2 linked regions of the Arabidopsis thaliana genome follow. The protein of the gene in region 1 interacts with the protein of each later gene in a biochemical or structural test. Each region holds a gene or a part of one and is shown on either strand. Other genes may lie near its edges. The genes, in order: KIPK and ZWI.

What was found.
Region 2: the proteins of KIPK (region 1) and ZWI form a complex in vitro, tested with the Arabidopsis thaliana proteins (one study listed by BioGRID).

The regions. Positions count from the first base shown.
Region 1 is NC_003074.8:19,604,529-19,616,266, forward strand, and holds KIPK (KCBP-interacting protein kinase), read left to right. Parts: upstream 1-3,368; 5' UTR 3,369-3,588; exon of another isoform or gene 3,589-4,502; 5' UTR 4,503-4,621; coding exon 4,622-6,543; intron 6,544-6,621; coding exon 6,622-7,504; 3' UTR 7,505-7,689; downstream 7,690-11,738. Other genes in the region: AT3G52900 (RAB6-interacting golgin (DUF662)), read left to right, coding at 8,606-8,833, 8,903-9,013, 9,082-9,162, 9,250-9,324; AT3G52905 (Polynucleotidyl transferase, ribonuclease H-like superfamily protein), read right to left, coding at 9,614-9,664, 9,758-9,847, 9,942-10,037, 10,130-10,198, 10,613-10,670, 10,795-10,943; GRF4 (growth-regulating factor 4), read right to left, coding at 11,649-11,738. UniProt on the Arabidopsis thaliana protein: Could be involved in the negative regulation of root growth.
Region 2 is NC_003076.8:26,367,689-26,380,769, reverse strand, and holds ZWI (kinesin-like calmodulin-binding protein (ZWICHEL)), read left to right. Parts: upstream 1-4,322; 5' UTR 4,323-4,375; coding exon 4,376-4,515; intron 4,516-4,605; coding exon 4,606-4,834; intron 4,835-4,910; coding exon 4,911-5,477; intron 5,478-5,562; coding exon 5,563-5,662; intron 5,663-5,745; coding exon 5,746-5,927; intron 5,928-6,004; coding exon 6,005-6,120; intron 6,121-6,232; coding exon 6,233-6,335; intron 6,336-6,455; coding exon 6,456-6,608; intron 6,609-6,718; coding exon 6,719-6,865; intron 6,866-6,950; coding exon 6,951-7,151; intron 7,152-7,413; coding exon 7,414-7,578; intron 7,579-7,657; coding exon 7,658-7,762; intron 7,763-7,861; coding exon 7,862-7,999; intron 8,000-8,084; coding exon 8,085-8,279; intron 8,280-8,403; coding exon 8,404-8,530; intron 8,531-8,610; coding exon 8,611-8,813; intron 8,814-8,898; coding exon 8,899-9,081; intron 9,082-9,151; coding exon 9,152-9,247; intron 9,248-9,333; coding exon 9,334-9,531; intron 9,532-9,851; and 7 more. Other genes in the region: AT5G65950 (trafficking protein particle complex subunit-like protein), read right to left, coding at 92-480; CHY1 (beta-hydroxyisobutyryl-CoA hydrolase 1), read left to right, coding at 1,609-1,638, 1,714-1,794, 1,859-1,927, 1,989-2,052, 2,128-2,207, 2,277-2,360, 2,440-2,524, 2,607-2,692 and 6 more; AT5G65925 (uncharacterized protein), read right to left, coding at 11,196-11,648. UniProt on the Arabidopsis thaliana protein: Minus-end microtubule-dependent motor protein involved in the regulation of cell division and trichome morphogenesis through microtubules bundling. Possesses basal and microtubule-stimulated ATPase activities.

The sequences.
Region 1 (11,738 bases):
CACGTGGCAATATTGTGACCGTTGAATTTATCCAACCGTCGTGGTTCATGCTATATGTGGAAAGTAAAAAGAATTAAGGACGGAAATAAAGGACTGATTGATTCTTAAGTCTTTTTTAATTAACCCGAAAAATAGTTGGTGGAAAAGTCACAAATGTGCCACGTTATTGGATAAGTTGTGGAAAAGTCCACAAATGATGGGTTTTAGATTATTGGGCTTCTTTTCCTGACCTCTTAAGGCCCAAAATAACAAAATTCAAGAAACATGAAGCTTAGTCCTTCGACCCACATGATAACCCATTTGACCATCACATGATTAACAATTCGACTAAAACAACCATAAATTTTGATTTATCAGCAATTATATTTGTAAATAGGTTTATTACTACAATCTGTACGTAATAAGTATCAATCTTTGAAGGAACTAAAATTTACACATTCCCATCCAAGACTATAGGCAGTCACAATAACCCATTTGGATGAATGCTCATTTTTATTTTTAATTGTTCAAATTTCAAAATACTGTGTATAGCTAAAAAATCGAATTAATAAGTGAAGGAGAAAAAATTGGTGGAGTGGATTAGATGCATACAATGACAAAAAAGCCAAGCAAGCCTTTTATGGGGGTGTGGCCTGTCGACACAAACATGTGAAACCTATACTTGTTGCCTTATTCTCTAGCTTGTTCTCTTTCTTTTTATTTTTTTCTTTTACCAAATCTAATTTGATTACCCTATATATCTCATCTTCCTCGGATTCTCATTTCTCAGATCTTAGTTCTTATTGATATTGTTTTGTTTAATAGTAGTTATCAAGAATATACATAACTCGAATCATTTGTCGTTGTGCACCGTTGTTTCTTGTTCGCCGTCCACGCAATAATTATAAACATCCATACCTAAATTTTATATATACACATCATGAAATATTGCGACAAAGACATTTAATCTAGTGGCTCATAGTATTAGTGCAGTCATTGCATCATAACTTGGTATAAATGTTTGAGATACAAAAATAAGTATATATATATATATATAATAGAGTTTAATCCGCGGTACACCGCGAAAATAATTTATTTTTTAAATTAATATATATAAAAGTATGGGTACTTTTTGTATTTTGTACACTATTAATGAAAATTCACATTTTAAAAAATAAAATTGAATGATGGTTCAAATTGATCTTAAACGAAAAAATCTGGGTTCCATCAATCGTTTTTCTTGAAAAGATGCAAAATATTTTTAAAAATCGAATAAAATAATTAGCAGGACCATTGATATATTTAAATATGCGCATGCATATGTTTGTATAATAAAATCTTTTGATGTTGATGGTTGGTTTAAGTTAAATAAGAAATCAGAAGCGGACGTAACACATCTAATTTTTGTGTTAGTTTAGTGTTTACAATATATTTAATGGGGATTAAAAGCATGAGGGAAGAGATTAAAGGCGCAGAAAGAGGAATCCTAGGCTCAAAGGGTTCTCAAAGACCTATCAAGTCTCTATTATTTCCTAACACCACGTTCCAACTGTATGATTTAGGCTTTTTTGCCAGATTCAAAAGTACTTTGTTGTTATTAATCTCGATCATGTATCATTAAGTTATGTTTCTTGATCTTATGGTTACGGTTGTATATTATTTGATTTTTCCTATGCATTTTCCATTAGACTCTATTTGATTTTTCCTATGCATCTTCTATTAGATTCTAGTTCATTCTTTCTTATTTTTTTAATTCATTTGTCTTGGGTGGCTAATGAAGCAATAATGGTTTTTAGTTTTTATTTGAGATATTTGTAATTAATGATGCATATAATTTACTGTTTTACGTGGAAAAACGTATTCTAATTTCTTGTAAATTGCAATCGCATTGTATATTGTACCGAGGAAAAGGATCGATTTGCCTGCGTGTGTATAAGCTTTATCAACGAGATCCAAAGTAATCTATATATGACCCATTGACCTACCATCATACACAAAGTCAACACACCTAAAAATGATTATGATCATGTTAATCTATTACCGCTTCACATACAATTGATAAAACCAAACTAAAACTAAAACTAAATATAAATACTATAAACTAGTTAAGTAACCCACGAAAAAGTCTCGGCTTGGCTATAAAAATGCAGTCACCTTCCACTTTTTATTATCTTTCTGATAGTCATTCTATCAGAAATATTTTATACATTAGACTGATTTGTAGTATTTTCGTCTGCTTAAATTTGAACATATCGTTCGTTAATCATTAATGTTTCCTAAGTTAGTAACAGGCCTAATTCTTAATTGTATGTTCAATACTTTTATCTTATGATCTGATGTCTGAACTTTGAGGTAAAATGGTACTAGTATAGTTCCATAGTTATGAATTTGAAAGACTGATTAAAAATATATATTCAAAATACATATCAATCTACAGTGTTCTTTTTTTGTTTGCTAAATTATATGAATCTACAAAATAAAAACGTTATTTCTTCGAAAGAAGTGTTGTCGAAAAAACATTTTGAAAAGAACTGCGCATTGGCTACCTGTCTTATTCTGACAATATTGCTCCACCGTTATATTTTAAAAGCATTCACATCTATTTTTATCTTCTCACCAATCTTACCTACTACCATGTGTTCGCAGTAAATTAAGACATACGACGATCGAAATACTGTAATTATTTATTTTTATTGATTACACTAAACTAATCTTTTCATCAAGATAATCTTTCTTATGGGATTTCTGATTGTAAAGGGGTTTTTCCTCAATTTTTCCCTATTATTTTTTCAATTTAGTTTTGCCCAAAAAAAAAAAAAGAAACTATTTAATAAAGTTCTATAATATATTATTGATATAATCCGATTGAGTTAGCTCGATTAGAAGAATCATAGATGGCTAGATAAAGACATCTAGTCGACCTCTACTACTCTAGTGATCTAAGATTCAACTGGAGAGCAGTGTTATGACTTTGAAAAAAAAAAAAAAAAAAATCAGCATGATATACAACTTTTATAGATTAGTCACTATTCGATGAATGATGGGAAATTTCTTTGGCAATTTGACTTTGGTCAAATATGTCATGATATTGGTGGAAGTAAATTATTGATCATCAACATTTCCGGGAGGTGAAATCAGTTTTGACATGACAGTATATAATATTAAAATACTTGTTTCTATGAATAAAAACAGCATAAATCCAAATAAAGCTCGAATTATTTAAATAAAAGAACAATAACAATTCAGATAAATTTATGAACAATAATAAAAGAGTTTTGAAATGGAATTAAATATCTTCTGAAGTGAAATATGTAATAAAAATACAGTAGTAATTTTTATTTGTTTTGAGGCATAATAAAATGAGGAAAAAACCCGCAAACATATGCTGTGGGACCCACCATGTTTTTTTTTTCAACTTGATCATCTCTTAACTCTCTCTCATTCACCAGAAAACAAAAATTACACAAAAATCAAAACTTTTACTTTTTATTTCTCCTCTCTGGATCTTCCTCTTCAAAGCTCAAGGCCATTAGGGTTTATCTGAGCTCCAAAATCACCCTAATTCTAGTGTATTTCTCAGCAAGCAAGCTTCTTCTTTTTTTGTCCTGGGTAAGCCTTTGTTCCTTCAATTTATCGCCAGCTTCTTCTTTATCTCTTACCTTTTCTTCTTTGCACGCCTCCATTAGCACTTTATTTATTTTTCTTCTGTAACCCTCTCTTTGATTTGCTTTAATTCATGAGATTTGGGGACCGTATTCAGGGTTTTTTTTGGGTGGGTTTCTCTGATTTTTTTTTCCTTTTTCAGACCTTTCATTATCTCTATGTGGTCACTTAAGGTCTCTGCAGTTTCAATTCAAAAATTTAGTTTAAAAAAAAAAAAAATCTGGGTGTGTGTTCATTAGCTAGCTCCTCTTTGTTCACTCATTGGCTCTCTATGATTTGACATTTAAGATTATTGCTGCATTTAATTGTGCTAAATCGATTCTGCACTCATGCTTCAGCTACTGTTCTTTGTGTCCCTGTAAATTTAAGTTTTTGAGATCTGAAACTATAAGAAATTTTCCGATTTTGGTTCTCATTAGTTGTTAGATCTCTTATCTCACTCGAAGCTTCTTTTTTTACGCGGTTTGATTTATTAATTTCGTTACTTCTCTGTAAATTCTCGATCTTTAGGGTTCTTCTCATCCCCTGGTTTAATAATGGGTCCAATCTCAGTTCTTGTTCACTCTAATTTTACTTTCACAATATCTCCAATTACGCAGATGCTTTTTGACAAATTTTCTCCATTAAAAGTGTCTTCTTTTTTAGCTGTATTAAATTTATAGGTCTCTCTATCTGTACTGGTATAGGGTTCATGATTGAGTCTACAAAAACATAATGAATGACCTAAAAGCTATTAACTTTCGTTTCTAGATCTGCTTGCTTCTCTTTAATATCTTCACCTCATTGCTCTAATAGACATTAATCTCCATTTGAAGTTAGTATTCTTTTACCAGTTTTACTGATTTTTCTTTTTCATTCAGGTAACTGTGATTGTTGCAGGATCTTGTGTAGAAACAGATCACAAGAAGATGAATGATAACTCGGTGGTGCGGCTTTGATTATCTTCAGAGATTTTAGATTCTGTATCCACTCTGTTGCGATGGGGTCGTTTGCAGGCGCTTGTGAGATTGTGGAAGAGAAGGATGATGAAGTAAGATTGCCAAAACATTCCGGGAGATATGGTAAATCGGTTATGGGATCATCAAGTAAGGATTTGGTGGAGCGTAAGCAACGAGAGTATCATGGTTCTCTTGAGTATGACATTGATATGCTTTTTCAGTCTATTTCTGTTAAACCATCTACTACGAGGTTGATGAGTTCTTCTTTCCATCATCATGAGACGAGCGCGAGTGCCGGTCCAAGCAGGACCACAAGCCCTTCGAAGAGAATTGCGTCCATGAAAAAACCAGGGACACCTCAGTCTCCTAGATTTGTTGGTCTCTCTGATTCAGTTTCTTTGAAGCAGGCTCTTAGGGATCGTTGCATTTCTAAGGCGTCGGAAATGGCTGCTCAGAAACGGTTGTCGAAATCTGCTGCTGCATCTCCGAGGGTCTCAGAAGCTGACAGGATAAAGAGTTTGTATAACCAAGTTTCGAATGAATCTACTAGCAGCAGGTCTGGGCTTGTTCCTGTGGACAAGGGTAAAGGAAGTTTGGTTGAGATACCTTTGATGCCTGTAAACGATAAACCAAGCTCTTCAAAGAGCGTACCTCAACGGTTTGAAGATCCTTCTAACCCCATTTCTGAGCCATCTCAAGCTGGAACCAGTTTTGGATTACAAGGAGTGGGGAATCAAACGCGGGAGATTAAGCTGTTGCATAGATCCAACAAACCTGGGTCTTGTCTTAGTTCTGGCAGTGGAGATTATGAGATAGAGTTAGATGAAAATGTTGCGTCTCCTTCCACTCATGCATTTGTTGAAGATGATGTGATAGAAATAGACAAACACGTTACTTCACTGCCATCTCACTCTAGCAAGAAAGTCAATGCGACGGAGCTTGACAAGAATATTTCCTCATCTGCTGTAGACTCAGAGCAGAAAGGGAAGTTGGATGATGCACCTAATTCAGGGACAGAGAATGGCAAAACAGTACGGAAGGTAACAAGAATGATTCCACGTCCCAAACAACCGAAAAAGAAAATTTTGCTTAAGAAGAAGTTAAAAATCGGGGTTGTGTCAGCAACTTACCCAACAAAAGACGATGAAGAAATTGTTCCTTCCTTGGACTCTAGTGCCAATCAACTTCTCTGCCAGAGATGTCACTGTTCGTTGAAGAGCACCAGCATCGATGACAACCCACCTTCATATACTTCTAGTCATAATCCTAAGATTTGCACAGATAGTTTGAGCTCTGTTTCAAATAAAGAAGCTCATCAAGGATCTGACGAGAACTCCTCTGGCTCGTGTAATGTCAGTCAAAGCTCTGAAGCTGACATTGTCATAATGAAACAAGATGTTTCCTCTAGCAATAATAGTGGAATCGGTGCAATGGTAGAAAAAGAAACCGAGAATCCGACTTCCAGTGAGAAATTCGAGTTCTCTCTGAGTTCAAAAGATAGTCTTGGGGATTATAGCAGGAGCACAAGCATTAGTGAGGAGAGTAATCTGAGCCGATTTAGCTGTGGGAATAAGCCTCACATGTCGATGGATGTGAGATGGGAAGCGATTAAGCATATCAAGGTTCAATACGGCTCTTTGGGTTTACGACACTTCAACCTTCTGAAGAAACTTGGTTGTGGAGATATAGGAACAGTCTATCTCGCCGAGCTGATTGGTACAAACTGTTTGTTTGCCATAAAGGTTATGGACAACGAGTTCTTGGCGAGAAGGAAAAAGTCTCCCCGGGCACAAGCAGAAAGAGAAATACTTAAAATGTTGGACCATCCTTTTCTTCCTACATTATACGCGCAATTTACTTCGGATAATTTATCTTGTCTAGTCATGGAATATTGTCCTGGAGGAGATCTTCATGTCCTCAGACAGAAGCAGCTAGGCCGGTGTTTCCCTGAACCTGCAGCAAGGTAAAGATTTACCTTTTCCATTTCGTGTCTAGCTTATTTAATGTACTGAAAATTGATTGTAAAAATTTGTTTCTGTAGATTCTATGTGGCCGAAATTCTCCTTGCACTGGAGTACTTACACATGCTTGGTATCATATACCGAGATCTGAAACCGGAAAACATTCTTGTCCGTGAAGATGGACACATTATGCTTACGGATTTTGACCTCTCACTCCGTTGTGCAGTGAACCCGACTCTTGTCAGGTCAAACTCTCCACCTGGTAAAGATCCCGCAAGGATTTCAGGTCCATACAACACATCCAACTGCATACAACCATTCTGTATCACCGAACCATCTTGCCAGGTTTCGTGTTTCAGCCCTAGGCTCTCCTCAAACCAACAACAAGGTAGAAAACCAAAAAGGGGTGATCATCTTTCGAAAACCCAACAACACTTGAGTAGATCATTGCCTCAGCTCGTGGCTGAACCAACCGAAGCAAGATCCAATTCCTTTGTGGGAACACACGAGTACCTAGCCCCAGAGATCATCAAAGGAGAAGGACATGGCGCTGCAGTTGACTGGTGGACTTTCGGGGTTCTCCTTTACGAGCTTTTATACGGGAAAACACCATTCAAAGGTTACAACAACGACGAGACTTTGGCCAATGTTGTGTTACAGAACCTCAAGTTTCCTGATAGCCCGCTTGTAAGCTTCCAGGCAAAAGACTTGATCAGGGGACTTCTTGTTAAGGAACCAGAGAACAGGCTCGGGTCAGAGAAAGGTTCTGTAGAGATCAAAAGACATCCTTTTTTTGAAGGATTGAATTGGGCTCTGATCCGGTGTGCAATCCCGCCTGAGCTACCGGATTTCTATGAGTATGGTGGTGGACCAGAGGCAGCGGCGGATTCGCCTGGAGGCAGTAATAATAGGTATCTTGAATGTAAAGCCATAGGCGATCATCTTGAGTTCGAGTTGTTTTAAGCAAGACATAGATATTCTCTGGTATAAGCATTCAGAGTAATCGTTGTTGTAAGTTATTATATCTAAGTTAAATCTAAATGTCTTATATGTAAATTTAGCGTTCTCTGAGACATAATCTGATATAGTATTCTCAAAAATATATATGCTCCTTCGTATCTCAATTTTTAAATATATGATCAAACATTACAATCTTAGTAGACACTAATCTACAAAACCAAAAGATTACAAACACTTTTCTTCAATGAAAGACTTGAGTTGAGATTCCCATCTGATGAAGAACACTTGACGTCGAAGAAGCTGACCTCAAAGCCTCAGCTAATGGTCCACCCATATTGTGGTGGTTCCCTACATTGCTCCACCAATTCAATTGCTCCCTCTCATTGTTGTTGTTTCTCAGGTTCTCTTCTTCTTTTTCTTCTTCATTGCTTGTTGAAAGTTTTAGAGAAACATCTGAGGAAGCGTTACTATTACCGGGCACGGAGATTGAGATATGACAAGTGGATGAGCTCATTGGACTGGAGGTAGAGCCCAATGATGATTCGCCTAGCCCGCCTAAACCCGCCTAATGACCGTGTAATCCACTTAATGTCTGCATAGTCCGCCAAATCTTCCTCACCGCCTAATAGAATCGATTTTAAGAAAGTCGAAGCGGTACATGAACGCCTAGCACCTAGGGGATGCCTAGACGGCTGCGTAACCCGCTTTCTTGAATACCGCCTAGTTGTAATTGCACATTTTTGGGTGTATATCAATTTTTTTCCAGCAAAATTAGGCAGTTGCACCTATCACCTATGTCTCACCCTACTGGGCCGGGCCTGAATAATTTATGTTACAAAGATTGCAATTTGCAAACATTAAAAGAAGAAAAGCCCAAAAAGGACATCTTTGATCATCAGATTGGCTCCACTTTAATTACGAAATTGATTTCTTTATTTTTCCTTTTTTACTTTTCCTTTTGGCGGGACTGCTTGCTTTGATTTTGGAATGATGTAAAAGCAAAGCAATTATGTTTGGGAAGGTTTAAGCAAAAGCAAAAGACAAGTGAAAGTAAATAAATAGATATTGAGAGAGACATAGAGACTGTTGTAACAAGAAAAAAAAATGAGTAGCAAGAATAACTCCGGAGCTGCTGCAGTTTCTGGAGTCAACACCAACGGTAAGCTACCAATGGAGGACAATGAAGAAGAAGAGATATGGAAAGTTGCAGTGACGAGGTTTCAAGCCCGAGAAGAAGAGATCGAGAGGAAGAAGATGACTGTTAAGGAAAAAGTTCAACAGCGGCTCGGTTTTGCAGAGGAAGCTACAAGATGCTTAACTCAAACATTGGAAGTAAGTTTATAAAAAGCCTTTTGTGTAACATGGTAGACAACAAAGCTAATAATGTTCTTACTAAAACAGGAGCTAGAGATTATGGGAGATCCTATGAGAAAAGAAGTTGGTATGGTGAGGAAGAAAATCGACATGGCGAATCGAGATATCAAATCTTTGGCACAAAGCTGTCAGAAAAAGGTATTACACATTTTCATTTTCAGGAAAAGCTGGCAGCTTTGTTTTAACACAAGAGGATAATTTGACAGGAGAAGGAATACAAAGACACATTGGAAGCTTTCAATGAAAAGAACAAAGAGAAAGCTCACCTTGTTTCCATGTTAATGGAGGTATTTAGTCTAAACCACTTAAAAGCTTTGTAAAATTTCTACTGAAGATCCAATGTGTGATTTGTGACGATGATTTTCTTTTGGCAGCTACTGGCTGAAAGTGAAAGATTAAGGATAAAGAAACTGGAGGAAATCAACAAGACTGTTGGAACCTTGCAATGAGGAGAAGCAATCTACATGGATCTTACCTTAAAAGAGAGTGAAAATTTGTTTAAGTTTTTGGTATTACACTCTATCCAGGTCCTCCTATTAAAAGTGAGCTACGATGTAACAGGATGTACGATAAATGAATGGTGCTAAGGTTTAAAGATATGAATGCAGCGAAAAACGAATTTCTTAAAAGATGCAAGATGTCTTTGTACACATAGATAATGTCAAAACAAATCAAGCATCATTATATTCATATATCCGAAACTAGCGGCTTCCCTATTTTGTCATTACCCGTTTCCTTTTACTCTGCTGGCTCAGTGTTTACATACCTGTTCGCGTAATCTAAATACTCCTGCAAGTAACAAACAATCAAACATAAAAATTATCAAGAAGGAAATACAAGAACAGATTCCATTGGTCTTTAAATGAATATTAGTAACCTTACCTGAAGTATAACTACTGCGGCTAACTTGTCCAACATTGTCTTCTCTTGAACAGGATGCAAATTCAAGGGCTTCAACATCAGTTCAACGGTCTGTTGACAGTATTACATGAGATTCAAGGGATATTAAACTTAACACCTATCTTTACTGTGACTTACAAGATCTTTAAATCTGAAAAATATATACCTTTGATGATAATCGCTCGTCCCAATATGTGTATTTCACATCCTTGAGTTTTTCGGTCTTACGAAGTTCCTCAATGAAAAGATTCACAGTGACAACCTGTTCCAAGTTTAAAAATCCTTTTCGGTTATATGAGCTAATGTAGAGGAAAAGTACTTCACAATTCAGTCGAAACAAAAAAAAAAACTTACATCCTCTACATTGTTCAGTTTGCCAAATGGATAACCAACGACTAATCCCGACACAGAAAATGCTTTGACCTGCATAAGACAACAAAAGGCAAATGATTGATGTAATCAAACAGAGTTCATAAGTCTACTTGTTGATAGATCTCTACTACGTCAAGGACTTAACAGTAAACACTAACTGAATAAACCTTGATCCTTTAATCACCAGTAAGGCAGTAATCACAAAAAGCCGAGGGTGAAAGTAGACACTAATCTACTACACTAACAAACTTTCTTCTTCATTACCAAAACAAACGATAGTTTCTTCATTCCTTATCTTAGTAAACACTAATCTACACTAGCAACCTTTTTTCTTTGTTTTAAAAAACACTAAGAAATGATAGTTTCTCCATTTCTTAACAAGAACTAAAATCTGTGTATTTGTTTAAGGTCTCCTTTAAATCTAGAGCTAAAAAGTAAAGGAACGATCAAACTTATAGCACCTACCAGGTTCTGGAAATCTGTAGCCATCAGGTCAATGTTTGATTTCTTTCTGAGCAAAACACTGCAAGAGAAGTAACAGGTTTTCAATAGCGATGATGGTGACAAAATTGATCAGAGAGGATTTGCATTTTTGAAAATTACTGTTAAACAAATGTTGTAGCATGTAGACACTGAATCAAAGGTACCTCAATGGAGAAGCAACCATATTTGAAGGATCTGAGATAGCTAATCCAACATACTTATCACCAACATCTAAACCCAGAAACCGACCAGGGACTGACACTTTGGTCTTCAGCGCATTACCCAATAAGCTCAATGGCTTCACATACTTCATTTCCTGATCAAAAGTAAGTGAATCAAACTTCCAAAACACTTGTTCAAATCAAGACTAAAAATTCACATATCAATTGCATAAATTTGAGAATTATTGTACAAAAAAAACTTTAATCAGACCATCAAACAAACATTTCGAAAAAGGGTTTTAGAAATTAATCAGAAAGTTTAAATCTTGACGTACTTTAAAGGCGGAAACTTTCTGGCTCCGGAGCACGGAATCTGGCGAGAGGAAACGACAAATGGTTCTGCTAAATGTCTTCGCGATTGAAGCAAGCAAGCACAAACCCCAAGATTGTGAATTAGAGATGGACCGGAAAAGGTTTATTCCGGTTAAGTTCGAGACTTCACCGTCTAATCAATCTATACGATGCCGGTGATTATCAGGGTTTTGGTTTTACATTATACCGGGAACCGGTTAATTCGAGGTGGTTTAACTGGTTTCCCAAAATTGATTCGGTTTAGCTTAAGTGAAAAGCTCAAGTAACCACCTCTCCTGTACTTACTTGCAGGCAGAGGATCATATTAGTTTCATTGCTTATACAAAATTGTCAAGCTTTAAACATAAATATAATAGCAGAGTAAGGAACAAAACAATTCCAAAAGCAGAACTCACAATTCCAAAAGAAGACAAATTCAAAGATTATTTTCTGCAGAAAATAAAGATTCAAAGAGCACAAACCAAAAAGATTACAAACACTTTTCTTTAATGAAAAACTTGAGTAGAGATTCCCATCTGATGAAGAACACTTGACGTCGAAGAAGCTGACCTCAAAGCCTCAGCTAATGGTCCTCC
Region 2 (13,081 bases), on another chromosome or scaffold:
AGCAAGCAATTGAGATCGCAGTGTTAATTTGAGGGTTTGAAACAAAGGAGGGGAAACAAGGAAACAAATATAAAGGGAGATGAGGAAATACTTGAGGCTGTCGAGATCGGAGCAGACCTGTAGCCATTGAGTTGGATCGCCGAAGATGTGATGTGAGGGAAAGAAGGCGGCGACAAGTGCAGGGACCTTGGTGCGATGCTTAAGCAACCAGTCCCGTTTCAAAATACCGCCGCATCTGGAAGGAATGGGAGAAGCAGAATCGGAGACGCTGAGAGGATCTCTGAAGGAGGAGGTTCGGCTGATCTGATCATCATGAGCAAGGAGGAGAGAGATTTGAGAGAAGTCGGGGAAGGCCAGAGCGTTGATGGGAGGCTGCTGGGAGTGGAGATACTTAGTAATGGACGCGTGTAGCTCCGCGTATCCGAAGAGAGCCACCAGACTTACCGGTGGCGTCCTGAGCTCTTCCGGGTATTCCTCCATCTCGCCGGGGAGTGTCTGAGACTCGGACGCGTTGAATCGAGCAAGGAAGGATCTGACACATTCATTTTACGTGGGCTTTTAACGGGCCTTTGGATAAGGGAATGGACTTGTATAGCTGTCAGATTGTTCATCTGGCCCAGAATATGATGTGAAATACTTAATGGGTTTTCAACGGGCCTTTAATCTTTAAGGGTATGAACCACTGCAGTTGTCAGATCTGATTTAAACTAATGTGGTTTCTAAGGATGTAGTATCATCAGGCCCATTATAAGCCCACTTCTTAAAGATGCATCGACTCGTCAAAAAAATAAAATAATACAAAGAATTCGAATTGGTTGCATATACAGAAACATTGGATTTTACAAAATGGAAGAAAGAATTATTGGAAGAGAATGAGAAGCTGTCAAGCGGAGGAGCGGTTGATGAAGTCAATGCAGTCTGCAATTGCATCGGCGTAGAAAGAGTTAGAGCGACGTATAGATGTGTAATCAAGACCGTCTTCTCTGACCAGCGGAGGCCTTCTGCAGCACCAGCTCCTGAGAAGCCTGAAAAAGCTTCTCACTCTCGCACGCAGTCTCTTTGTCTTCTGCCTCAGCCTAATTCCTCTTCCACTCGGCCATCGTATCCTTGCTCTTTCCATCTTTCAACTCTGTTGCATATGCGTCAGATTGTTGAGTTTTCATGTATATGCAAATTATCTATATATCGAGAGGCGAGGGCTTTCATGTCTGACTTTTAGAAGTGGTTGTTGAGAATTTTTGAAGACTTTTTTAATGATTGATCTGGTGCCCACGTGTCATTTTATGCTAGAGGGAGGTGTTGGTTAGTTGGAAAACTAGCTTCCTAACAAAAAAAACACATGTCTAACGTACTCGATAAAAACATATAATCTTCTCATTCATCAAGCATGTTGCAAGAGGGCTTTGAAATTGAGTTTGAAAAGCAAAGTTCCATTTGCTCTATTAACAAAATAAAGCCCATTATTAAAACCAACAGATTACTATAAGGCCCAATATCAACTTCCTAAACTAAGCGGGTGAAGATTTTGTTAGCCATTAGTGGTAATTTCTGATCCCATTGCTGCTCCTCTCTCCGGAGATACAAAGGCGAATCTGACCAGTAAGAAAGATGGCAGTCGAGATGGCCTCTCAGTCTCAGGTCTCTTTCTTGCGTCTTTAATCCGAATCTACGACGATCAATTCTTCGCTCTCTGAATTAATAATATGATCACAGGTTTTGGTGGAAGAGAAATCGAGTGTTAGAATCTTGACACTAAACAGACCAAAGCAGCTGAATGCTCTGTCCTTCCACATGGTATCGAATATTTCCCTTCTTGTACATGCGTACTGTATTGGCTTAGACTCATTTTTTTCTGTAGATCTCTCGATTGCTGCAACTGTTCCTTGCATTTGAGGAGGACCCTAGTGTGAAACTTGTCATCCTAAAGGTAATCATTATCCTTATCTCTTCCGCTTACACACATTTAGTACTGAATAACTTTGCCACAGGGTCATGGGAGAGCCTTTTGTGCTGGTGGCGATGTTGCAGCTGTTGTTCGTGACATCAATCAAGGTTTACCACCCATTCTTTTCTGTTTCTTACTTTCAGCTTTTATACACTCTTTCTCTATCTTCGTTCGTTGACTAGGTAACTGGAGACTCGGTGCCAATTACTTCTCATCTGAATACATGCTCAACTATGTTATGGCCACATATAGCAAAGCTCAGGTCTCGCTATAATTTCGTTTTGTTTTTGTAAAATCACTCCCGAGTGGATAAACTCATCAATTCGTATAGGTTTCAATCTTGAATGGTATCGTCATGGGAGGCGGAGCTGGTGTATCCGTCCATGGTCGATTTCGTATTGCAACTGAGAACACGGTAATCTTTCCTTAAACATGTCCATGGATGACAAATAGGTCGCTCCAAAATATGCTCATATCTTTCGACTTTCTCCAAGGTTTTTGCCATGCCTGAGACAGCTCTGGGGCTCTTTCCAGATGTAGGCGCCTCCTACTTCTTGTCAAGGCTCCCTGGTTTTTTTGGTAACAGAAGCTATATTTCCTTTTTTTGCATCTTCTTAAAGCCACCAAAGTTTGAAAATGCTTTCTTGTCTTTTTTGTTCAGGGGAGTATGTTGGCCTCACAGGAGCTAGATTAGATGGTGCTGAAATGCTTGCTTGTGGCCTTGCAACTCATTTTGTGCCTTCAACGGTATGAACTTCCTTTGCGTGCGTCTATTTCGTAAGACATTCTGAATTGACTTTACACATCAGATATTGTATAGCTACTAGTGTCAAGCACTATCTGCTTCACCAAGGATTGCTACTTAGTTAGGTTTACTCCTTTCCACAGAGGTTGACTGCATTAGAAGCAGATCTTTGCAGAATTAATTCAAATGATCCAACTTTTGCCTCAACAATTCTCGATGCATACACCCAGCATCCGCGCCTGAAACAGCAGAGTGCTTACCGCAGGCAAGTCTATATGATTTTTATCTCTTTTACTCTTTCTACTAGTATGGTTTTACCTGATTACATTTTCTCGGTTATTGACCATGATTATAACACATTTTTTCTATAATTTCAATTTCGTATTGCTGTCAGGTTTTCAATCGCTCTTTACAGAACTCATTTCTCATCTGATCTTTAATTGAAAATTTATAAAAGTGCAGAGGACAGTTATTTTTTATCTCCCCGTTTGTTGCGCAGGTTAGATGTTATTGATAGGTGTTTCTCAAGGAGAACAGTCGAAGAAATTATATCTGCACTTGTAAGCTTTTCATTTATATATAGAGATGTTGACTTGCGATCCTGAGTTGACTGATTTACCTTTGACAACGCACTCTACCATCATATGTGTTGCTTAGGAGAGAGAGGCCACTCAAGAAGCAGATGGTTGGATCTCAGCTACCATTCAAGCATTGAAGAAGGGTTCACCAGCAAGCCTTAAAATCTCTCTTAGATCGGTTAGTTCCCAGAATGTGCATCACAGGCAATGTTGACAAAGAGCTGACTGTGAGTATATATTTCAGATAAGGGAAGGGCGATTGCAGGGGGTGGGGCAGTGTCTTATCCGCGAGTATAGAATGGTGTGTCATGTGATGAAGGGAGAAATCAGCAAAGATTTTGTGGAGGTTTTGCAAGCTTTTTCCATCTGAAACCGTCTTTGTTGTAGACCGTAGTTACAACAGCGTGTCTTTACTTATGCAGGGGTGCAGAGCCATATTGGTAGACAAAGATAAGAACCCAAAGGTTTAACAAGTCTCTCCATTTGTTATTTGTGGTTGGTAATATGTGACATTGTTGATAACAATATCTGAAATTATAGTGGGAGCCAAGGCGACTGGAGGACATGAAGGATAGCATGGTGGAGCAGTACTTCGAGAGAGTGGAACGGGAGGATGATCTAAAGCTTCCGCCAAGGAATAACTTGCCTGCTTTAGGGATCGCAAAGCTGTGAAGTGGAGAAGGTGATGGAGCACTATTGTTTACGTCTGTGGGAAAGAAAAAAGAAAATAAATGTAACAACACTTGTGTTGAATAGGACTTGCATACATTACATAAATCATTATTGTATTTGAGAATTGACACCAAAGCAGCAGAGCAGAATTGTGTTAAGATTTGTTAATGGTGTTGGAGGCACAACCATGGCAAACGGACGTGGAAGCACGTCTATAGTCATTGTTCATTTATTTGATTGAGATTCCTCCTTGGTCTCATCTTCTGAAAACGAAAAATAATTAGAAAATCAGGTGAATCGTGAAGTATTGAATGAGAAGAGGCAATTAAAAATCTCCCGTGACTCTCGTCTCCCCATCTCTCTCTCTCCCTCTGCCCAAATTTCTGGGGCAAATTTGTTCATCAGATCTACTACAATCTCTCTTTTTCTTCGGGTATGGAGGGCCAACGAGGCAGTAATTCTTCGTTGAGCTCTGGCAATGGCACCGAAGTCGCCACCGACGTTTCTTCTTGCTTCTATGTTCCCAATCCCTCTGGAACCGATTTCGATGCCGAGTCGTCTTCTCTTCCTCCTCTGTAAGTCTTCTTTGAATTTTTAAAAACATTCACTCTCTTGCTGCTGTCTCTGTTGATCCTTCTTCTTTGAAAATTTGAAAACATTCTTAGTCTCTCGCTCTGTCACAGCTCCCCAGCTCCTCAAGTGGCATTGTCAATTCCTGCGGAGCTTGCCGCCGCCATTCCCCTCATCGATCGCTTCCAGGTTGAAGCTTTTCTGCGGCTAATGCAGAAACAAATCCAGTCTGCTGGGAAGCGTGGCTTCTTCTATTCCAAAAAGTCCTCTGGCTCCAATGTCCGCGAGCGCTTCACATTTGAGGATATGCTTTGCTTTCAAAAGGTTTTTCTTTCCCCCCCTTTCTTCCCCATTGACAATCCATTGACTGAATATGTCTCTCTCCCCTTCCTTCCTTCAGGATCCAATCCCCACATCTCTCCTCAAGATTAACAGCGATCTCGTCAGCCGTGCTACCAAGTTGTTTCATCTCATCTTAAAATATATGGGTGTTGATTCATCTGATCGATCTACGCCTCCCAGTTTAGATGAACGCATTGACCTCGTTGGAAAGCTCTTCAAAAAAACTTTGAAGCGTGTTGAACTCAGGGACGAACTTTTTGCCCAAATCTCCAAACAGACTAGACATAATCCTGACAGGCAATACTTGATCAAAGCTTGGGAATTGATGTACTTATGTGCCTCCTCTATGCCTCCTAGCAAAGATATCGGTGGATATCTATCTGAGTATATTCATAATGTCGCACACGATGCAACTATTGAACCGGATGCTCAGGTTCTTGCTGTTAACACTTTGAAAGCTTTAAAGCGCTCTATCAAAGCTGGTCCTAGGCACACCACACCTGGTCGTGAAGAAATTGAAGCCCTTTTGACCGGTAGAAAGCTCACAACCATTGTCTTCTTTCTCGATGAAACTTTTGAAGAAATTTCATATGACATGGCTACCACAGTGTCTGATGCTGTTGAGGTATCTTCTTGCTTTCTTTTTTCATAATTTACCGCTGATCATATTCTTGTCCCTTTTTCTCTCACTGCATTGACATCTGTTTCAGGAGCTAGCTGGAACAATTAAACTATCAGCTTTCTCTAGCTTTAGTTTGTTTGAATGTCGTAAAGTTGTTTCAAGTTCTAAATCATCTGATCCCGGAAATGGTATGCTTTCATATGACTGGCTTCGTCATATATTGTGAAGTAATACAACATTATCGATCATTTTTCTATCTGTGCACTTGCAGAGGAATATATAGGATTGGATGATAACAAGTATATTGGAGATCTCCTCGCAGAATTTAAAGCTATTAAAGATCGAAATAAAGGAGAGATACTACACTGCAAACTGGTATTTAAAAAAAAATTATTCCGAGAGTCTGATGAAGCTGTAACAGATCTGATGTTTGTGCAACTTTCGTATGTTCAAGTGAGCATTTTCTTCATTGGTGACATTTATTTCCACACAAAAGGCTTGCCTTTCGTTGCTGACACACATATATGCAGCTGCAACATGACTATTTGCTAGGAAACTATCCTGTTGGGAGGGACGATGCTGCACAGCTTTGTGCCTTGCAAATTCTTGTTGGGATTGGGTTTGTCAATAGTCCAGAGTCATGCATGTTAGTTTTCTTAAGCTCCGCCATTGACTTTATTTTAGTTGTCCGATACTTTATTTTTCCAATTTTCCTCCCTTAACAATATCATTTCCTTTCTCAATGTATCACATATCAGTGATTGGACATCACTTCTTGAGCGGTTTTTGCCAAGACAAATAGCAATAACCCGAGCAAAGCGTGAATGGGAATTGGATATCCTTGCTCGCTACCGTTCAATGGTAGGAATAGTTCTATGCATTTTGATTGTCTTCCCCTTTCTAGATACCTTTGGCAAATAAAAACCCATTGAAGTGATGGCATGGTAAAATGATATTTCGTATGTGTATGTGGGCATGTAGGAGAACGTGACCAAAGATGATGCAAGACAACAATTTCTACGGATACTGAAGGCACTGCCATACGGGAATTCAGTTTTTTTTAGCGTACGCAAGATAGATGATCCGATCGGTCTTTTACCTGGGCGAATCATTTTGGGTATCAACAAACGTGGGGTTAGTCTCAATATAAATGTTATACATTATGACTTTAAAAAAACTGTTATTGTTGTTTGGAATTCAAATCTATGTTGTTGGATTTGAATTTGTTGTTTGCTTTCTTGTAGGTTCACTTTTTTCGACCGGTTCCTAAAGAATATCTGCACTCTGCTGAACTACGTGACATCATGCAATTTGGCAGCAGTAACACTGCTGTCTTTTTCAAAATGAGAGTCGCTGGTGTTCTTCACATATTTCAGTTCGAGACAAAACAGGTTTAAACATCACTATTTGTGGATCATTATATTATGAAGCAATTCCTTATGAGATATTCAATTTGGGTAACTTGTATGTTTGTAGGGAGAAGAAATTTGTGTTGCTTTGCAAACACATATAAATGATGTCATGTTGCGTCGTTACTCCAAAGCTCGATCTGCTGCCAATAGCTTGGTTAATGGAGATATATCTTGTAGTTCTAAGCCGCAAAATTTTGAAGTGTATGAAAAACGTTTGCAAGATTTGTCTAAGGCTTATGAAGAGTCCCAAAAGAAGATTGAGAAGGTACACATTCTAACAAATTTCTTATTTATTCTTCAATGTAAAATTGAATATAATAGAGGGAGGCTGATCTTTGTTTAAATACATGAAATAACTTATTGTAGTTGGATTTTTTCATGGTTTTTATGCTTGGTAGTCTTGAGATATTTCAGTATATATCACCCTCCTATCTTATGTTATTGTATGTAGAATGTTATACCATGACCTCTTTTGTTTTAGAGTGGCATGCTGATGAACTATTCGTATGTTTTATGTTGTTGTATAGTTGATGGATGAACAACAAGAGAAAAATCAGCAAGAAGTTACTCTGCGTGAAGAGTTAGAAGCTATACACAATGGTTTGGAGCTTGAAAGGAGAAAATTGTTGGAGGTTACTTTAGACCGAGATAAACTTAGGTCATTGTGTGACGAGAAGGGAACAACTATTCAAGTTAGTTATAACCTAACTTTTGTCTTTCTTTTGATGCTTGGTTGAAGTTATTTAATGATTTATTCTATATATGCTATAGTCCTTGATGTCTGAACTGCGAGGAATGGAAGCAAGGTTGGCAAAGTCGGGCAACACAAAATCAAGTAAAGAGACAAAATCAGAATTAGCCGAAATGAATAATCAGGTGAATATTATGTGTTTAAATCTAATTCATTGTAATCATTGAGTTGTTGTTTTTTGTTTCCAATTCTGCTTTCCTTTGACAATGAATTTTAAGTCACAGATATTATACAAGATCCAAAAGGAGTTAGAAGTTCGAAATAAGGAATTGCATGTCGCAGTTGATAATTCAAAGAGGTTGTTGAGTGAAAACAAGATATTGGAGCAAAATCTCAATATTGAAAAGAAGAAAAAAGAGGAGGTGAATTCTATGTATTAGATTTATTGAAGATTTCAAATTGAGAAGTATCAAATACTTGCGTATTGTTGACATCTCATTATTTCAGGTTGAAATTCATCAAAAGAGATATGAACAAGAAAAAAAGGTGTTAAAGCTTCGAGTTTCTGAACTTGAAAATAAGCTTGAAGTACTTGCTCAAGACTTGGATAGTGCTGAGTCTACGATTGAAAGTAAGAATTCTGACATGCTGCTGTTGCAAAATAACTTGAAAGAACTTGAGGAGTTAAGAGAAATGAAAGAGGTAATGGTACTCTTTTGTCTTCTTCATTATTTAATTTTGTTTCTGTTTGAATGATGATAATGTATTTTCGCGATTCAAAATTGAAGTAGAGGGATGTGTTTACATTCCAATTTCATTTTCTTAGGACATTGACAGAAAAAATGAGCAAACAGCTGCCATTTTGAAAATGCAAGGAGCCCAACTTGCTGAGCTAGAAATACTTTATAAGGAAGAACAAGTTTTAAGGAAAAGATACTATAATACCATAGAAGGTAACATAATGCTCAAGTATGTACAATGATGTTCATTGCTTTTAAAAAAGAATTTTACTAACATTTTTATTTGATTGTAGATATGAAAGGGAAGATTAGAGTTTATTGTCGAATAAGACCTCTAAATGAAAAAGAGAGTTCAGAGAGGGAAAAACAAATGCTGACAACTGTGGATGAGTTTACTGTTGAACATCCATGGAAAGACGACAAAAGAAAGCAACACATATATGATCGCGTATTTGACATGCGTGCTAGTCAAGATGATATCTTTGAAGACACAAAGGTATTATTGATATGTAACTGTGTTCATTTACCTTTCATCCTTTGTTATTTTCTTGTGGTTACTAACATCGTTTTCCTTTTAACAGTATTTGGTACAGTCGGCTGTAGATGGGTATAACGTTTGCATCTTTGCATATGGTCAAACTGGTTCTGGAAAAACTTTCACTATATATGGGCATGAGAGCAATCCTGGACTCACACCTCGAGCTACAAAGGAACTGTTCAACATATTAAAGCGAGATAGCAAGAGATTTTCATTTTCTCTAAAGGTAATTTGTTATCCTAATAGATGATGTGATAAAAGATTATGACATCAACTGACTACAAAAAGTTATGCAGGCATATATGGTGGAACTTTATCAAGACACACTTGTAGACCTTTTGTTACCAAAAAGTGCAAGACGCTTGAAACTAGAGATTAAAAAAGATTCAAAGGTATTGTGAGATATATCTATTTTAACTAGGTTATAACTAGATTGTAGACACGTAAGTTTGATCTTATGCATAAAATATTTTCTCAGGGAATGGTCTTTGTAGAGAATGTGACAACTATTCCTATATCAACTTTGGAGGAACTGCGAATGATTCTTGAACGGGGATCGGAACGACGACATGTTTCTGGAACAAATATGAATGAAGAAAGCTCAAGATCTCACCTCATATTATCAGTTGTTATTGAAAGTATTGATCTTCAAACCCAGTCTGCTGCGAGGGGCAAGGTGACAAAATTCACTATGTTTTTCTTTATTGACTCATTATCATTTTTCACAGGATTTAGTAGCATTTAGGGATTTTAAGGAAATAGGAGTTTCTTTAGATTTTCATGCTTAGTCTACCGAAGAAAAATATAGTAACATTAATCTTGTTTAAGAGAGATATTATTTTACAGCTCAAATCTTTGGTCTGGTACAAAATGTTAAACCTTTATGTACACAATCCATATTATTAGTCAATGATATGCCCTCCATTGTTAAACCCATATCACCTGATCATGGTGGTATCTTCTACAATATTCTGAATTTTTGTTTGTTATTTGCAGCTGAGTTTTGTGGATCTTGCTGGTTCTGAGAGAGTTAAAAAGTCGGGCTCAGCTGGTTGTCAACTCAAAGAAGCTCAAAGTATCAACAAATCACTTTCTGCATTAGGTGATGTTATTGGTGCTTTATCTTCTGGCAACCAGCATATTCCTTATAGGAATCACAAGCTAACGATGTTGATGAGCGATTCATTGGGCGGCAATGCCAAGACGTTAATGTTTGTTAATGTGTCTCCAGCCGAATCAAATTTGGACGAGACGTACAATTCTCTTCTGTAAGTCATGAGTTCCCATATATATATAACATAAATCAAATATGCTTAGTGTAAAAATGGATAATCCATATTGTTTTTTTTCCTCCTTTGATTCCAGATATGCATCGAGAGTGAGAACGATCGTGAATGATCCCAGCAAACATATATCATCCAAAGAGATGGTGCGATTGAAGAAGTTGGTAGCATACTGGAAAGAGCAAGCCGGTAAAAAAGGTGAGGAAGAAGACTTGGTGGATATTGAGGAAGATCGTACACGAAAAGATGAGGCAGATAGTTGAAGAAAGCTGACATGAAATTCGTCTAGGTGAAATTGAGACTATAGTATCACTGGTTTTCACCATTCTTTTTGTAGGAAGTTCCTGCTTTATAGTAGAGTTTCTATCGAAGAGTAGTCCTATATGTCTCAAACTTTCTCTCTTTTGATGAGATCTTCATTACAAGAAATGAAAAAAAAAAAAAAAAATTCGTAGATATTATATGAAGCTGGTGAGAACCATACAAACATATAAAGATAACCCCATAATGTCAAAAGTTATGGTATACGGAGACTAAAAATTCAAACTTTTAATTTAAGGGAAAACTAGACTATAAATTCCATTTTGTGGATTGGAGAAATAACAAAAATTCACCAGTAAAATTTAAGGATTTACACGCAAGACAAATGTAATCCATACGTTGACATTGGGTGATGTAAAGTTGAAGGACTACTCTAATGCCTAGAAGAAGGAAAAAAAAAAAAAATCTCTTTTTGTTTGACCTTTTTTTTTTTGAATAAAACTTTTTTTCATTCCATGATTTCTCATCTGTCTCGCATTAATACTAATTCAGTGTTCGTTGAAAACGTAACTCAAAAATGTCGAAATTGACACAATGAAGGACTACTTTCACTATGTCTGCAATCTAGACTGTGTATTCCGTACTGAAATTTATATACAAGCAAGAAAGTCTATAAGCACACTTGAACAATGCACACAAAATGAATTTCTTTCAGCTGTTTAGCGTTTTTGTATCTAACCAGAAATGGAAGAAGAAAGAAACGAAAATGAGTATGGTCATCTTCATTTTCTTTCTTTTATTGTTGATGAGTAGTGAAAACTCCACCGATTTTTCTTTTTTTGCTATAATCCTCTTCTTCAAACTGATCACAAACCTTCTCTTCATCAATCCTTCCCATAACCATACAACTATAATTTCTCCGGAGATCCATCTGTCGTTTCATAGCCGTCGTCTCCACCGTGATTTCTCCGCTGCTGGCGCCACGTGTGACAAACCGGCAACGTTCACGTGTTGTCGTGGCCGAATTTAGGGTGAAGCTACGAGGGAGAACGGTGGTTGGTGCTTCGCAGATTTGGAAATTACCGGGTGGTAAGCCAAAAGCGCCGGAGCCACCACCACCGCGGATGAAACCGGCGGAGCATGACGTCATGCTACGTATGTAAGCGTCACGTGCCATGATCAAGAAACGAACCGGAGATTTCACCAACCTTGCTAAATTGCTTTCTTTCTTCATTTCTTTAGCTTTCATGATTTAAAGTGGAATAAAAAAAAGTTGATATAAGAGATTACAGAGAGAGTGAGAGAGAGAGGAGATGCGACTAGAACAGGAAGATGCCGTGTATGATAGACTTCGTTTTAAATGCATTTCAGAAATAATAATTATTAGGGTATGTATATATAAATGTATCTAGTTGGATGTTTACGGTTTGGTGATACTTATCTTATTAAAAATTCACAAAATATTAATCTATAGTTTAATTTACTTTGGTTAAGTCAAAATAAGGTTGAAGTTGTAATCTTAAGGGCCGGCAGTTTTAATTAGTATTAATTTTTTAGAAATTTCTTGAAGTATTTATCCATTGAAGCTTAAACTTGCTTACAAGCTCAATAGTCAAATAACAATTGCCAAAGTACACGTCTATATGTCTTTAAACACGTTATCAAAGCGTACAACAACAAAAATATCAAAGTCGAAATTATTATTATAATTAATATGGATTGAGATATGGCACCAAATTTCTTGCATTAAAAATACTGAAATAATGATTTAGGGGGAGTGAGAGATTCATTGGAAGGAAAAGAGAGTATATAAGAAATTGGTGGTTACAGTTGACTTGATTTACCAGTTTCACTATCAAAATTTAAAACCAATTTGTCAAATAAGAAAGATTTTGCTTCAACTTGATTTGTTTCTATAGAGATATTTGACAATGGATTCAATATGTTGTTGGCAACTTGAAATGAAAGCAATAAATTCATCGCTGACATATCTATCTGCACTTTTATAATTTCCAATTATAACTTGCCCCACATAATAAAGTTTTCGAAAGTCAATTTGTAACCTGTATGTCTAGGACGAGATATATTAAATTTTTGATTTGCATCTTTAACAACGACAATAAAAATTCTCGATTTTGCATCTTTATATTTTTGCATAGCTTATTGGGCTTCTTAAATCCTATCATTCACGAAGGCCGTGTACAGCATTTTGATGTACCATTTCGAAGCCCTCACAGCCCAACAACACAAACATTATTATATTTTCTGATAATCGTAGGCATGGTAAAATTTTCAGTTTTAGACCCAATAATATCGTGAATCGAGTTCTATGTTATCCAATTATCATGATGATACTATATGAATTCGCAAACGAATATATCCCGAAAAATAAATCAATTCATCAAGTTAAATTATGATCTGCTGAAAAATTAATCATAATTTGTATCACTAACCTAAAAATAGCGAAACAACATGTTAAATAATCTACGAGTTTAGGACTCACGTGACAGTCTATGTAGCTTAGAAACAAAATACAAAGCGCAATGTGATGTAATTATTCAAATACGACAATCTCAATAACTCATTTCTAAGTTAAATAATCAAACAAATTTAGCAAATTGAAAATTATGCAGGGCAACTCTAGGCACAACAATTATATAAATGTCCTGATATGTGTTCTGT